Arabidopsis thaliana: one gene and its partners. The protein of the gene in region 1 purifies or fractionates together with the protein of each later gene. This does not show direct contact. Each region holds a gene or a part of one and is shown on either strand. Other genes may lie near its edges.

The links. The genes of interacting proteins can lie anywhere in the genome.
Region 2: the proteins of AT1G78860 (region 1) and AT1G33600 fractionate together in Arabidopsis thaliana (co-fractionation; one large-scale study listed by BioGRID). This does not show direct contact.
Region 3: the proteins of AT1G78860 (region 1) and AT1G33590 fractionate together in Arabidopsis thaliana (co-fractionation; one large-scale study listed by BioGRID). This does not show direct contact.

The regions. Positions count from the first base shown.
Region 1 is NC_003070.9:29,644,618-29,650,356, forward strand, and holds AT1G78860 (D-mannose binding lectin protein with Apple-like carbohydrate-binding domain-containing protein), read right to left. Parts: upstream 3,075-5,739; 5' UTR 2,883-3,074; coding exon 1,551-2,882; 3' UTR 1,386-1,550; downstream 1-1,385.
Region 2 is NC_003070.9:12,179,076-12,185,028, reverse strand, and holds AT1G33600 (Leucine-rich repeat (LRR) family protein), read right to left. Parts: upstream 4,254-5,953; coding exon 2,817-4,253; 3' UTR 2,807-2,816; exon of another isoform or gene 2,429-2,806; intron 830-2,428; exon of another isoform or gene 822-829; 3' UTR 501-821; downstream 1-500. Other genes in the region: AT1G33590 (Leucine-rich repeat (LRR) family protein), read right to left, coding at 5,808-5,953.
Region 3 is NC_003070.9:12,175,935-12,180,128, reverse strand, and holds AT1G33590 (Leucine-rich repeat (LRR) family protein), read right to left. Parts: upstream 2,457-4,194; 5' UTR 2,453-2,456; coding exon 908-2,452; 3' UTR 501-907; downstream 1-500.

The sequences.
Region 1 (5,739 bases):
TCTAGAAAGAGATACGATGTCTTTGGCAAGAGTTTTGATAGAAGTTTTGCAGTTAGCCCTGTGTTTTTCTTGACTGGTGACAATCATACAAATTAAGCTTTGCCATCTCCAACAAACGTTACCTCATAATAACCCAAGTTTCTGGCTTGTTGAACTTCCATTAGTAAAGCTACTGGTTTTGCTTGAAGTGGGTTCTATTGAAGAACTACCTTTAATAATTTGATGGCCTTGTTTGTTATGCATTTATCATCAGATTTTAGCTTTCATATCTGGTGATTCCCGTGAGGCATCAACAAAACAACAATAAGTTTGACTTCTTAATTAGCCTTTTTAGAGCGGCATCATTTGGGAACCAAATCACCTCAAAATGCATTGTCTCGAGACGAGGTAGAAAAATTAACTCATAGCTATGCATATGTATATACTTCAGCTCCAATTAATATGCAATGTTTCACAAATACAAATGCTTATGGGCAGCTCAATATAGTACAACAATTTGTCACCCCAAAGTCCCAAACCGTCATACTAAATGTTCAGTTAATATTTCTATCGTTTATTTTTCGTTCTTTATACATTATATTAGAACCGACTCTTTGGTTCCAAATGCTAAATTTTTACCTCTAAAAATTTCTATTCATAAACAATGTTTCTCTGGTTTTGGCTTTTATGCCATCGATTTAATTAGACCAAATCAGCTCACAAAATGAAGAAAAATGAAGATTAGTGTTAAGTACTGTGTACCTTTTGTTCAATAATTAATTATTATGTTTGGGTAAAAAAAATCGATAATATATGCAGTAGAAAGCATTTGCTTGATATGTATAAACTATAAATAACACCTGGCATCTTTCAAGTTGACTTTTAAAAATCAAAGCTAACAACGAAAACGATGTAAAGTTATTAGTCTGCATGATTTAAGACATTATGTACATGTATAATAAATATATAAGAGCGTTGACTGGTCAAAAAAAAACGAGACAGATGACCATCTCTGTTAAGGTGACGCGGCGTCGAAGCGCCGTAGCACGCATCTTATTCGTATCATATTTATACCGCTTCTTTAATAATCCAAATTAAAAGTTTGAATCTTTCAATGGCTTGTCATGAGAAGCAAAGTGTTGTGTGCACGTTCTACTGCATTGCATCAGTGTCTAATAAAAATATAAAACATTTTTTCACAACGGAAAGTTAAGGTTTTTCTTGAAACATTACCTTCAAAATATGGTCTCAAGCTAAAAAAAAAAGAAAAACAGAAAACATGAAAGCTTAAACTCATTCATGATTCAATTTCTCAATTCAATCCTTAAGTATATCATATTTTGTGATGATACTAAATTAATGAATAATTTTATTTTTTTTGGTAAAATAATGAGAATAATTGAATTTAGCTGATGCGTTTCACTTCAATTTATTACGGTGTAGCTTGAGAATCAACATGCAATCATAAAACAAGATAAACCAATAGCAACACTTTTTCAGAAAAGAGAAAACAAAGGACAACGTAGCCTTATTATTCGTCAAAACGACACACAAAAACCTTTGTTTACGCTTCAAATGGCAAGAGCTGACTTCTTGCTAGCATTCGGAGCCTTGACATAAGCAACTAGGGAAGTATCTCCGGTTTTAGTCAATGTCTTGAGCTCATAACCCAACCAACACCTCGAACTCTTCCTATTGTAGAAAAACCCTAAACACTTACAATCTCTCGTACATTTGTCCCCACACGCACTCTCCGTTGTCGTTGATCCACCGTTATACTTCGTCATAAAACTATCAGCTCCTTCGATCTTGAAATAGTGAAATGTCTTGGGATCGCAACTAGCGAGACTCGGAATCTTGCAAGTCTCATCCCAACCAAGAAGCCCTATGTCGCTAGGACAAGCGTTACACTGACCTTTCTTACACAAACCAAACCCCAAACAATGCTCAGGGATCCTACACTCATCGTTACCGTCAGTGTTGTCGTTAGTAAACGCCGTGTACGTTACGTCCCAAGCCGTGGAAGTCGCCAACGTACTGTAACTCCAAACTCTGATGTTTCCGTCTGACTCTAACCGAAGAAAACTCAACGTCGCATTGTGTTTAGGCCGCGAGAGGAACGTCGAGACGTTGAATTGAGAACCAGAGTCGACACCTTCCATGTGTAGACCCCACGTGGTGTCGGCATCCTCCACAGCTTGGAACGTCATAGACTGTAACTGAGCTATCTTGGTGAAGAATTCGTATTCGTAGTAACCGATTGGTTTTGGAGTTTTGTTTGTCGTGTAGTACAAGACTAGCTTCTTGGCTTCCATCACGAGACTGTACGGTCCGTTTGCGTTGACCGATGGAGAAAGTCTGCTTACGAGCTTGTTTTGACCGTTGAGTTTCAAAGACTGTCCAACGAGAAGCGTGTCGGTCGGAGAGTCAAAGCTTTGCCATACGAATTTTCCATTTGAATCATATATTACCATATTGCCATTCTCCAAAATTTTGATCCCCACGACGCCTTTGTTAGCCGTGTTCGTTTGCCAGACCACGCGGCCATCGGCTTCAGCAAGTACAAGGTTTCCATCTTCGCCGAAAGTCAACGTGGCGTTTTCTTTGACTGGTGAGCCTCTGTTTGCTTCCCAGACCCATCTTAGAGTGGATTCTTGGGCTCTGTTTCCGATTCTAAGAGCGAGAGTGTATGCGTTTTGGGTTGTGTTGTAGAAACAGAGACGGAAGTTGTCGCTGAAGGGGACGAAGCCACGTACGTCGGGGTTGTATTCGATGGGACTGTAATCGGTGTAGCCTCCTTCGTTGACCACTCGAAATTGGTCGTCGACGGGAACTTTGGCTTGTGCTCCGACCAAGAATATGGAGAGAGTGAAGAACAGAGCTAATGTGGTTGAGAATTCCATTTTTTGTTATGTGTTTTTTTGATGAATGTTGGTGTGTTTTAGTATACTGAGTGAGCTTCTTTTTATAGGATGCAATGATATGCTTTTGAAACCTCGTCACTTTAGCAGGTGTATATTAATTTATCAATGCTATTCGGTGTAAAGTGAAGTGAAACAAACTTGTATAATAATTTGAAACAACTTGTATGATAATCTATCGATTCTTAACAGGTATAAAGTGATAATTTTCATTTTAGTCAATATTAATTATACTTGTTTTGTACAAAGTAACATGTTTCTTGTATAAAGCGAGTCAATATTAATTATACTTGTTTTGTCAGTTTTCAACTATAGTTTTTTATTTATTTCTGTAGCACCACAGCAACATTAGTTGGAATTGGAATTTTGAAAGGGTACGTGAGCACTTTGATATAATGTGGACCAATTTTTAATTACGAGCCACCGGAATTATGCTATTGGTCGTCCCGTTGGATTTTTGTTTTAATTGTTTATTCGACGCATGTGATGTGAGCATAGAGATAGCCTATTTGATATAATATTTTAAGTACATTATTTCATATACCGTTTCATTGATTTTTTTGAAATTACTCTGAACCAATCTGTTTGCCTTATATCAATCCATTTTCGGAAAATCGCCACTCCTTCCAAACTGAGGACCATACAACGTTATACCAACGGATCCGATAAGCTGCGTTATCTACACTTGGTTATTTTAAAATTAATTAACGTTTTAATGAGTTTGCGAAATATGGATGCGAAACAGATCCTCATTTTCATTTTCTTCAGTTGCTATGTTCCAATTTTTAGTTTTCTGAGTTTGATCACCAATTTTTTTGAGAAGTTGTTAAAGTATTTGTTTCCTTTTATGATTAATCTCAATCCACCTTTTTTTTGTCTTTGATATATTAGATCACTGTTAAAGGTGTGCGACCTGCAACAGAGTGGTCTTTTCCCGATCAAGTTAACATTTAATAACAACGTACAAAATGTATGACATAAAAAAGTGTTTTGACTAACGACTAACAGCGATACGACTAACAGTGGTTCAACTTGTGCTTGGCTTCGACTAACAGACGCTTCGACGAAATGTGAAGTAAAAACAATAATTGTTCAAGTAATATTCATACTTCGCCTAAAACGGTTTTTATATAAGCTTTTTTTAAATAAAGTGTGATTTTTGCACTTGCCTTTAAATGCGGAATTGCGGAAGTGTTTTCAAGTGTTACGAATAACTATGTTTTGACTAAAATGTTAGGAGTAATTTGCCTGACTAGTTTAGGAGTACGTGTTCGTGATTTAATATTGTGTTCAACAGTATAACTAATGTACTTCACTAAGTATGCTTTGTTTAGAAGTATGCTTGGAAATATATGTTTCGACTTTTAAGTAAATTGATCTAGTGTTTTACGTGTGTTCGGATTTAGATATAAGTTTTTTGAGTAAGTGCTTCGACTAAATTTTGGCTAAAGGGATTTTGTTGAATTAATTAAGTGTTAATGTAATTTTAAAGACGTAAGAAAATACACATTTATTAGTCGTGTGTGTATCTTGTTAAATGTGTTTTTTTTTGGTTGAATGGTTCAGTGCTACGACTTTGACTATTTTTTGTTGAAAATAATTTGGTGTTTACTAAGTATGTTTCAACTATTTTAATTTTTTAGTTGTGAGTTTTAATTAAAAGTTCCGCATCATATCTTTTTTTAAGAAAATATTTTTTAGTTACTGAGTGTTTTACTACTAAATGATATAGTGTTTATGAGTGTGTTATTAAAGTAGAATTAAAAAGTTTACACTAGAAAGTGTTTCGAGTGATGAGTATTTCGACTAAAAAGTGCTTCAATTATTATTGATAGTAGTTGATTTTTGGAAAGGATTGAAAACTAACCTGGCGGAAATTGCAATTCATGTTTATGCTTTAGCTCTCTAAGTAGTGGATATTGTTGTTCGCTTGTTGAAGCTTTGTCCTCCTCATCAGAATTAATGATCCCTCGCAAAAAATATTATATCTTGATTAAAAACATTATTAGGACTATTATCAAATAAATAATAACGAAAATAAAAGATTCATGGTTTAAATTAAGGCATTGCACCGTATTCATTTGTCAACATATAAGTTTTAAACGAAGTATCAACAATACGAATAACATAGAAATCAAAATCCAACATGGGTCAAAACAAAGTACTAAGAGCCAAGAAGAGTAATTCCGACTAAAAACACCCAAACAATACAACAAGAAAGAAACTGGAAATTAAAGTACATAGAGACAGAAAGGTAATGTACAAAGGTTTTACATAGACACAGTTTTCGCTTTTCACCGTAAAGTAAAGTACAAAGTAACTCACCGATGATTGGCTGAGTTTTGCCGCCGAAGATGAAGAGAGAATCAGACAACAAGAGACAAAAAGAGAATAGGTTTCTATCTACATGTCTTGGTTTGGATTAGATAATTTAGGAGTAACGAGGACTGTGTTGTGTGTATTACTATATATAGACAAGTTTTCTTTACCGTTGGGTAAAATCACTAACGGATAGTTTTCGAATTCTCAGCTTTTGACGTCATAGTTACCGTTCTGACATCCTCAACGGCTAACTCACAGTGAACCTACTACCTAGTTCGCTACTTTAAAGTCGTATTATTCTTGATGGGCTTTCGAGATCGGCCCAACCCAATGAAATGTTTAAAGTTTTACAAGTCCAATATAAAATGACAAGCTTAATGGATAAACTGGATTTGGTTAAGGTCCATTATAATAAATATGGGCCTCACATATAAATGGCTTTGATGGACCAATAAGCCCGGAAATCTGAGAAAATCTATGTAATATTCGAAAACTGTTGGGAAAAATCAATAAATAA
Region 2 (5,953 bases), about 17 Mb from region 1:
TTCCAAGTATATTTTGGTATTTTGTATATGTTTGGTTATTCGATCTAAAAATAACTAATATTTTGGATATATAATTGGATATTTTTGAGTATCCAAAATATTTTGGTTTGGTTCGGGTTTGATTATAATCTTTTTCGGTTCTAGAATTTTGGACCTATTTGAATATTTTACAATTGGTCTGAGTTCAGTTTGGTTCTTTTTTCTTCGGTTCCAGTTCAATTCTTTCGGTTCACTTATTATGTCCAGACTTAATCCAGACGATGGACTGACTTGACTAATTATATCCGATAAAATCAGACGGGATTTTTGGATCGAGGGACCGGTTCAAGAAATTCTGGTCACGCGGGATCAGAAAATCCAGGTAAGTAAATTTAATTCTTATACTCATTAATTTGACTAACTGTTATGTGTATTTTGTAAAGTTTGGGTATTTAAAAAAAAGTAGAAAATTTGGATAATTTCTGTTAATTTTGTAAAAGTTAAATACATAAACGGAAATACGAGTATCTTTTCCGAAGTCCTCGCCGTTCACTTTAGTAGTAACATTTCGCGTATATGGAAAACAATGTCGGAGGGTTGAAATACTACTTTCACTAATACAATAATACGTATTGATTATCGTTGTTACATGTAGTGGAGCTTCTTGATGTCTTAAGTTAATGGTGTGTTTTTGTTGATTGAGAGAAGCATTCGTGGTAGCTATTAATAGAAGGAAAGTCATCGACTCTAGCGCTGACGATTTTGACCAAGTCATATGCATGTGGTGGCATTACGTGGTGGTATAATCCGTGATCGTTGTTGAGTTTAGCATCTCTGGATCCCTTGAAAGAGACAGTGTCTTTCATCAGATTATTATATAAATGGTTTAACATATCTTCTTTTTCTAGAATTTTGTTGTTACATTGTATTAAAACTCATAAGTCATATAGTTTTTTTCCACTGTCTTATTAGTATTTCTTTCTATCAAATTTAAATAAAATTTTATTTTTATTATGGAATTTAGTTAGGAAAAATAACCATTTTGATTTTTCTCTAACATCTATATATACATTTTTGCAGCCATTTTGTGAAATAAATCCTGGAGTTCGAACTTATTTACAATACCTGCCATTGCCTTTTAATTATTGGTTTTCTTTTGGCAATAAATTGATTAACAAACAAAAAATATTCCAAATATATTATAATCCCATATATCACGCAAATTTCTCCAAAATTTAAACTAGATTTCGGAAACTATTTAAAACAAAAAATATTTGACAAACCAAAATACAATTGCAATCCCTTAAAATGAGCAAAACGCACCTAAATACATTTCCTATCAGTTCACTAAATCTTATTTCTCCAATATTTGAACTAGATTTCGACAACCATTTAAAAAAAAAATTTGTTTGACAAACTAAAATATAATTGCAATCCCGTAAAATATTTATTTAAATTAGCGGTGTATCGCAGATTTTTTTAACGGGACGGGTTTGGTGGAACGAGTTTGGAAGGATATTACTTAATAACAATTGTAAACTATAAAATGTAAATATTTTATAGATAAATATAATTTGCAGACTCTTATATATACTAATTTTAAAAACAAATTGTCTCCGCGGTGTACCGCGGGTTATAATCTAGTTATGTACGTTATTTTCGTCTTACTTTTTTCAACACGTTATTTTAATCTGTCCAACAAAATGTTCGTTATTGACCTTAAATTAGAAGTGAAAGATTTGACTGTTTAGATTTAGAACGATCTAAGTGCAATGATCTAGACAGTGAAAATAAGTTGGCCTCAAGATGGTCAGGTAAACATTATGCTTTATTTTCTTAGCATAATCTAACATTAGTAGCTTTATCTATTTGCCTATTGTAAGAACTAAGAAAGTGAAAATTTAGATTGTTCTCGAAAATCGATTTGTTCAGTTTTCAGTTTATGGTAGTGACATTTAAGATGCATGCTACCTCTCTTATGAATGCCGTAGCGTTCATCGAGATCCATTTGTTTTTATAGCTTTGAATAATAAGGCAAATCTCAGTGTGTCTACAGTTTTAATATTTCATATTATTACACAAATAACTCTAGTTTTCTTGTCTACAAAGTCACCAGTTTCATGATTCTAATGGAACATTTATTCCCAAGATCTTCATTACTTCTTGGATGTAGGGTAGGTACCGAGAGTGAATGTATCAAACTATTGGTTTATATGTGATATTATTTTGTCTGTCTAGATTTTAGATATTTAGCTCACCAATGATTAGACTGCCCACAAAGTAATCAAATTAATGTTGGAAATTGAGAATAACCGATCAATAATTTGTTAAAACATCAACATGATTTATATTTACATGGCTATGTACTGTATTATCAAATTTCTTAAATATTATAAGGTTTTTTTTAAACAAAAAAATCACAAATTATGGTAAGTGGTCATAATATTATTTTTTCTAAACATGTTTTACTTTTTCTTTTAACTGACAAAAGTTCATTATTCTGTAACTTCTGTTAATGTTCTGTTAGTTAGTGTTCTGTTCTGTTATCTTTTAGGGCTGTACAAACAAAAAATGTTAATTTGGAGATCTAGAGTGTTAGTTTAATTAATTTGGAGGTTTATAATGCTAGTGAAAATATCTTGAGGTTTAAAGTGCTGCTCAGTGTTAGGTTTAAAATGTGATTTTCCCCTTAAATATTTTGTTATTTTCTATTCCAGTAAAAAAAATAAAAATCATGTCCATGTATGGCGTAGCCGAGTAGGCTAATTTTGTTATTACAAATCTTATTCAGAGCTATGTGTTACAGTACTCAACTACAAAATTGTACCTTTTTGCCGCTAAATTTTACAAGGAGAAAGCGGAGAGCCGCAGAGACAGTCATTACCGACAAACGCGCTGGCCGGGAATTTAGTCACTGGAAGCTTTCCACAAAGATGGTTATGACTCAAGTTCAATTTTTGCAGTTTAGCCACGGTCATTGGTACCTTCCCAAATATCAAATTCCTTGATAGATCGAGGCTTTCTAGTCTCTCACTTAAATTCAGCTTCCCCATGTCGAATCGAAGTTTGTTCCCTGACGCTTGAAACTCATATAGGTTATGCGCTAGGTTGAAGAACCATGTTAGACTCCCTGAGATCTCGTTTTCTGACAGATCGATGTAAAAGTAAATATTGGGTCTCACTGGCTTCCAATTGTCTAAGCTCATATTGATCCCGCATTTTACCAGCTTCAACGAGTACATGGACGGCGACGAGGTCACCCATTTCGGTATCGTTTTGAGGTGAAATTGGTTGTATGAAAGATCTAGAGTGGCAAGGCCATCAACGTTCTTCATGGCAGGGAGTGGACCAGTTAGAAAATTGTGGGAGAGATTGAGATGGAAAAGTTTAGGCATATTGGCTAAACTCTTCGGAACAACCCCAGAGAACCTATTTCTAGAAAGATCCAATGAGTCTAGTACCTTGAAGTTTGATAAAAAGGTCGGGATTGTCCCAGAGAGATTATTCTGGCTTAGATCGAGGTAATTGAGAATTGGTTTGAGTGATGCAATGGACGGAGGAAGATTTCCAGAGAATTTGTTGCGGGAGAGGGTTAGAGATTGGAGCTTCTGCATGGATTTGAAAATATCCGGTATGGTTTCAGAGAGACGATTGTTGCCAAAGTTGAGTGACAACAAGATCTTGAGATTAGCAAGACCTAAAGGTATAGTTCCGGTTAAGAGATTATCTCCAAGATTGAGCAGATATAACCGGGTTAAATTGGAAATGGAACTCGGGATCGGACCAGTAAACAGGTTTCCGTCGAGACTTAGTTCTCCTAACTCGCTTAGCGCACCAATGTTAGCTGGAAGAGGACCGGAGAGACGGCTATTCGTGAAGTAGACTTGTTTTACATTTGGTAATTGGAAAAGGAATTGAGGAAAAGAACCAGTGATGTTTCGAAGATTGGTGAAGTAAATACCAACAAGGTGTTGGAGTTTGGCCAATGACGGCGAGATAGTGCCAGAAAGAAAGCTTCCAGTAACATCAGATTGTCCGTTGATAGTGAGTCCGGTGACGCGGTTGGTGAGACAACCGACACCCTTCCATGAACAGCAGTCAGTACCTTTCTTCCAAGAGCTGAGAATACCCGTAGGATCTTGAGTTATACCCGATTTAAAAGCTAAAAGACCCGCCTCGTCATCAGGATGACACGTGGCAGCTTCAATGGGACTTAAACACCGGAGAAAGATAACGAATGCAAAGATGAAGAGAGGGAAGCAACAAGAGTTCATGGTTGAGTTGTGTTGATTGAAAGACACAATTGGTCGCTATTAATAGAAGGAAAACGTTGAATCAAGAGCTGCCGATTTTGACCAATTCATGTTCATGTGGTGGCAATAAGTTGTGGTAATATCCGTAATCGTTGTCGAATTTATTATCTCTCAACCCCTCGAAAGAGACAGTTTCTTTCATCAGATTTTTATAATATTTTGATGATTATAGATAAAGGATTTATGTATCTTATTTTTCTAGAACTTTGTTGTCAAATTACAATTGTTTTCTATCATGTTTAAATAATATTTTGGGCTATTATGAAACTTAGTTTGGAAAGAAATTTCATTTATGTTTTCTCAAAATGTACGTTATTTTTGAAAAAAAAAAAATATTTATTAACATGTTATTTTTGTCTAACAATATGTACATTATTGACCACAAAATAAAAGTCAAATATATCTAAGTACAATGATCCAGATTGTGGACTAAGTTGGCCTCGAGATGGGCCGATAGATTCATGCCTTAATTTTCTTAGCGTAATCCAACATTAACATAAGTAGCTTTATCTATTTGTTTATCGTAAGAAATTATAGTGGAATCTTAGCTTGTTTTGGAAGAACCAATTACTCAATTTTCGTTTATGGTGGTGAAGTTTTAAGATGCTGCATGCATTAGTCTTGTTTTGGAAGAACCAATTACTCAAACTATCTTTTTTTGTATAGTTTTTGAATAATTTTTCTAGGTTGGTTTACTATGTCTTTGTCTCATTGAATATGGATGCATTAGTCTAATCGAACTTTAGTGTTTTAGACAAAAAAAAAAACAATACTAAGTTGAAACCTACTTCAGAGATGGTCTAATTCCTCAATGCAGACGCTATATGTCCTGTGGATGACCTTGTGTTATGTGTATGTAAAGAGAAAAAAGAGGTTTGATACTAGTATATATCGATTACTTGGTTTGTTGTTTGGTATGTGTTATTTGTGATCAAATAAATTTTGTAGTGATGAAGTTATATGCATCTATCTAGTAAGGACTCCTCTTGTTTTCATCACTAGGTTTTTGTTAACCAATTATAGAACACTGAAGAATAATAAATTACGCATAGTTCTAAATAAGATATCACTATAACTTTCTTTCTTTTTTTGTATAGAGCGAGTTAAATTCCAGTAAACATAGATTATTTACTGCATCATTTGTTGCGACTATTCTGAATTGAGAACAGATTAGCCAAGAGTTGCATACTACATAATCAGTTTAATATATAAGCAAAAGTTACATAAATTGGAGCATGTTGTATCAGAATACTACTCTGTTTTTCCTTCTATTTTTTAAAATCATTTTTCTATCATGTTAAAGTAATATTTTAGCTGCTATATAAAAAATGCATAATAGTTGAGAACTTAAATACTACTTTGAGTACTTTCACTAATACATATTGTTAGAATGAAGCTTCTTCATAACATAAAACTACTTTATTTGTTGTAATCTTTTTAATACAAATTTTATTTGGAGCTAAACTTTATTGGTCACGGTAAATATCCAACTACCAGTTGTAGCTTTCTTGCCGCTTAAGCTTTACAAGGAGAAAGAGGAGAGCCGCAAAGACAGTCATTACCCACAAACGCACTGGCCGGGAACTTTGTTACTGGAAGCTTTCCACAAAGATGGTTGTGACTCACGTTCAATGTCTTTAGTCCAGCCACCATTGCCGGCA
Region 3 (4,194 bases), about 17 Mb from region 1:
GCATGCATTAGTCTTGTTTTGGAAGAACCAATTACTCAAACTATCTTTTTTTGTATAGTTTTTGAATAATTTTTCTAGGTTGGTTTACTATGTCTTTGTCTCATTGAATATGGATGCATTAGTCTAATCGAACTTTAGTGTTTTAGACAAAAAAAAAAACAATACTAAGTTGAAACCTACTTCAGAGATGGTCTAATTCCTCAATGCAGACGCTATATGTCCTGTGGATGACCTTGTGTTATGTGTATGTAAAGAGAAAAAAGAGGTTTGATACTAGTATATATCGATTACTTGGTTTGTTGTTTGGTATGTGTTATTTGTGATCAAATAAATTTTGTAGTGATGAAGTTATATGCATCTATCTAGTAAGGACTCCTCTTGTTTTCATCACTAGGTTTTTGTTAACCAATTATAGAACACTGAAGAATAATAAATTACGCATAGTTCTAAATAAGATATCACTATAACTTTCTTTCTTTTTTTGTATAGAGCGAGTTAAATTCCAGTAAACATAGATTATTTACTGCATCATTTGTTGCGACTATTCTGAATTGAGAACAGATTAGCCAAGAGTTGCATACTACATAATCAGTTTAATATATAAGCAAAAGTTACATAAATTGGAGCATGTTGTATCAGAATACTACTCTGTTTTTCCTTCTATTTTTTAAAATCATTTTTCTATCATGTTAAAGTAATATTTTAGCTGCTATATAAAAAATGCATAATAGTTGAGAACTTAAATACTACTTTGAGTACTTTCACTAATACATATTGTTAGAATGAAGCTTCTTCATAACATAAAACTACTTTATTTGTTGTAATCTTTTTAATACAAATTTTATTTGGAGCTAAACTTTATTGGTCACGGTAAATATCCAACTACCAGTTGTAGCTTTCTTGCCGCTTAAGCTTTACAAGGAGAAAGAGGAGAGCCGCAAAGACAGTCATTACCCACAAACGCACTGGCCGGGAACTTTGTTACTGGAAGCTTTCCACAAAGATGGTTGTGACTCACGTTCAATGTCTTTAGTCCAGCCACCATTGCCGGCACCTTCCCAAATACCAAGTTCCTTGATATATCTAAAGTTGTCAGCGTCTTTGCAAACGTTAGCTTCCCCATATCGAATCGTAGTTTGTTACCCGCTGCCTTGAACTCCACTAGATACTCTGTTTGGTTCAAGAACCTTGCTGGACTCCCTGTGATCTCGTTTTCCGACAGATCGATGAAATCATAGTAGAATGTTTGCGCTGGCTTCCAATCGTCTAAGCTCATCTTGATCCCGCATTTTGCTAGCTTCAACGAGAAGATGATCGGCGACGAAGTCACCCATTTCGGGATCGTATTCAAGTGAAACTGGTTGTAAGAAAGATCCAAAGATTCAATGCCTTTAACGTTCAAGACAGGGAATGGATCGGTTAGAAGATTATGGGAGAGATCAAGATTGAATATCTTGGTCAGATTGGCGAAACTCTTCGGTATGACACCCGAGAACCGATTCTTGGAGAGATCCAATGTGTCGAGCGCCTTGAAGTTTGATAAAAAGTTTGGAATCGTCCCGGAGAGTTTGTTATGGCCTAACTCGAGGAACCTAAGAATCGGTGCGAGTGATGCAATGGACGGAGGAAGATTCCCGGAGAATCCGTTGCGGGAGAGAGTTAAAGATCGGAGCTCTGGCATGGATTTGAAAATATCTGGAATGGTTCCAGTGAGACGGTTACCTCCAAGGTTGAGATACGACATGAGCTTGAGATTAGCGACCCCTAACGGTATAGTTCCGGTTAGGAGATTATTGCCGAGTTTGAGTTGAGTTAACAGAGTCAAATTAGATATCGAGCTCGGGATCGGACCGGTGAACCGGTTTCCCTCGAGGCTGAACGCTTCAAGCTGGCTTAGCGCACCGATGTTAGCCGGAAGAGTACCAGAGAGACGGTTATTCTCAATGTATACGTACTTAAGATTTGGTAATTGGAAAAGGAATTGAGGAAAAGAACCAGTGATGTTCTTGAGATCGGTGAAGTAAATCCCATCAAGGTGCTTGAGTTTAGCCAACGACGGCGAGAGAGTGCCGGAGAGGAAGCTTCCAGCAACATCGGCTTGTCCAGCGACAGAGAGTGCAGAGACACGGTCAGTGGTGAGACAAGTGACACCGTTCCAAGAACAACAAGCGGTACCTTTCTTCCAAGAACTGAGAATACCCGAAGGATCTCGGGTTATACCCGCTTTGAAAGCTAGAAGACCCGCTTCATCATCAGGATGACACGTGGCAGCTCCGGTGGGATTTAGACATTGGAGGAAGATGACGAAGGTAAAGATGAAGAGAGTAAAGGAAGAGTTCATGGTGGTGAATTGTGTTGTGTTGATTGAGAGAAGAGAGCTATTAGTAGTGGGGAAAAGATTACTTGAGAGCTGCGAAGTCAAAGTTGACGTTTTTGACCAATCCATTTGCATCTGCATGTGACCATAATTATTAGTGGTATCCGTAATCGTGGTCGAATTTATCATTTTTCCCCGACACACTTGAAAAAGACAGTTTCATTAGATTTTTATTATAGTTTGTCTTTTCTTGACTATTATATATGCATAGGTCTTCTCTTGACAATTAACACGTCTTAATGTTTTGCTAAAAACAAAATTCTACTTTTTTCAGACTTCTTATAATATATTTTCGTTTTTTTTGGTTATATTTTGAAACTCCAGTAAGTCATAGTATTTTTATTTTTCACAACATTTCCGACAAAAGAAACTGTCATAGACTCAAGAGCCAAACGATTCTAACAGCAAGAACAGAGTAATTGATGTTCCAATACATGACTGGGCTGGACTTCCGCCAACTGTTTTTGGCGATGCAATAACACTTCCAGGAAACAATCAGTTTATACAAGACCTCCTTATTAATATTAAAATTACTAGAAGAATATTGAGCATTTATAATATTATATTGTAGCAGTTAATCGTGTTCTGCTATAATTTACTAACCAGCTAAAACGTTATAACGTTTGGTTTTCAAAACGTTATACTATCTTACCCCGGGAAATAAAATGACTCGGGTCAATATTTTTAGATTAGGGGTTATTATTCGATAGCACTAATTTACAAAAACCGCTACCTAATATAGTAGCGCGGAATGAAATTTTTTTGCTCGTTGGAGAATAAAATATTTGGTGACTTTTAACCCCGAAATTTTTTTCTAAGGCCAAAAAACATTGTTCGTGTTCTCACTGTTTTTCATCTCACTGTTCTTCATCTCTTTCAATTCTCTTTTTCAATTCTCTCTGTTTGTGTTCGTGTTCTTCAGCTGTCTGTCTCTCTCCCGTCTCTGTTCGTGTTCTTGCTCAACGCCTCAATCTCTTTTGGTACTCTTCAGCTTCTCAGTCACAGATCTGGTTCTAAATCGAGAAGGTTATGTTTCTTTTGTAATCGATTTAGGGTTTGCATTGTGAAATTGTCTGGTTTGAGTTTCGATTTGGGGTTTTAATCACATTTAGGGTTTGATTTTCAGGTTTCTCAGATTTAGGGGTTTCGATTTGGGGCTTTCGCTATCCGCGTTTCTCAAAGATTTCAGTGGCTTCTCTTTGACAAGTATGTTATTTAGATCGATTTCTGTGGTTCTTAGATCGATTTTGAGTTTCATATAGCTTTGAACTTGACTATTCTCATGTGTCGAATTGAGTTTCATATAGCTTTGATAGTGAGCATTCATTTGTATCGAATTGAGTTTCAAATAGCTTTGATAGCTTGTATTCACTTGTATTGATTAGAACTTGACTATTTTCAGTGACTATTGACTTGTATCGATTAGAAGTTGACTATTTCTGTGACTTTTCACTTGTATCCAATGGAACTTGACTATTTATGTGATTCACTTGTATCGAATTGAGTTAATTTCTGTGGTTCTTAGTATACGTGTAGCTTTGAGTTTATGTGGTTCTTGTATTCAATATAGCTTTGATAGTATTGAATTTTTGTTTTTGAAATTTCTCTTTGTGTCTTTGTTCTTGTATCTCTGTTAACTAATATATATATATATATATATATATATATATATATATAAATATTATCATATATATGGGGTTGGAGCTTGTTGGTGTTTCAAAAATGGATAAGAGTTGGGTATGGCTGCCAAGGAATAGCATTGAGTACGAGAAAGGAGCAACAAAATTTGTTTACGCATCATCGAGACGTTTGGGAGA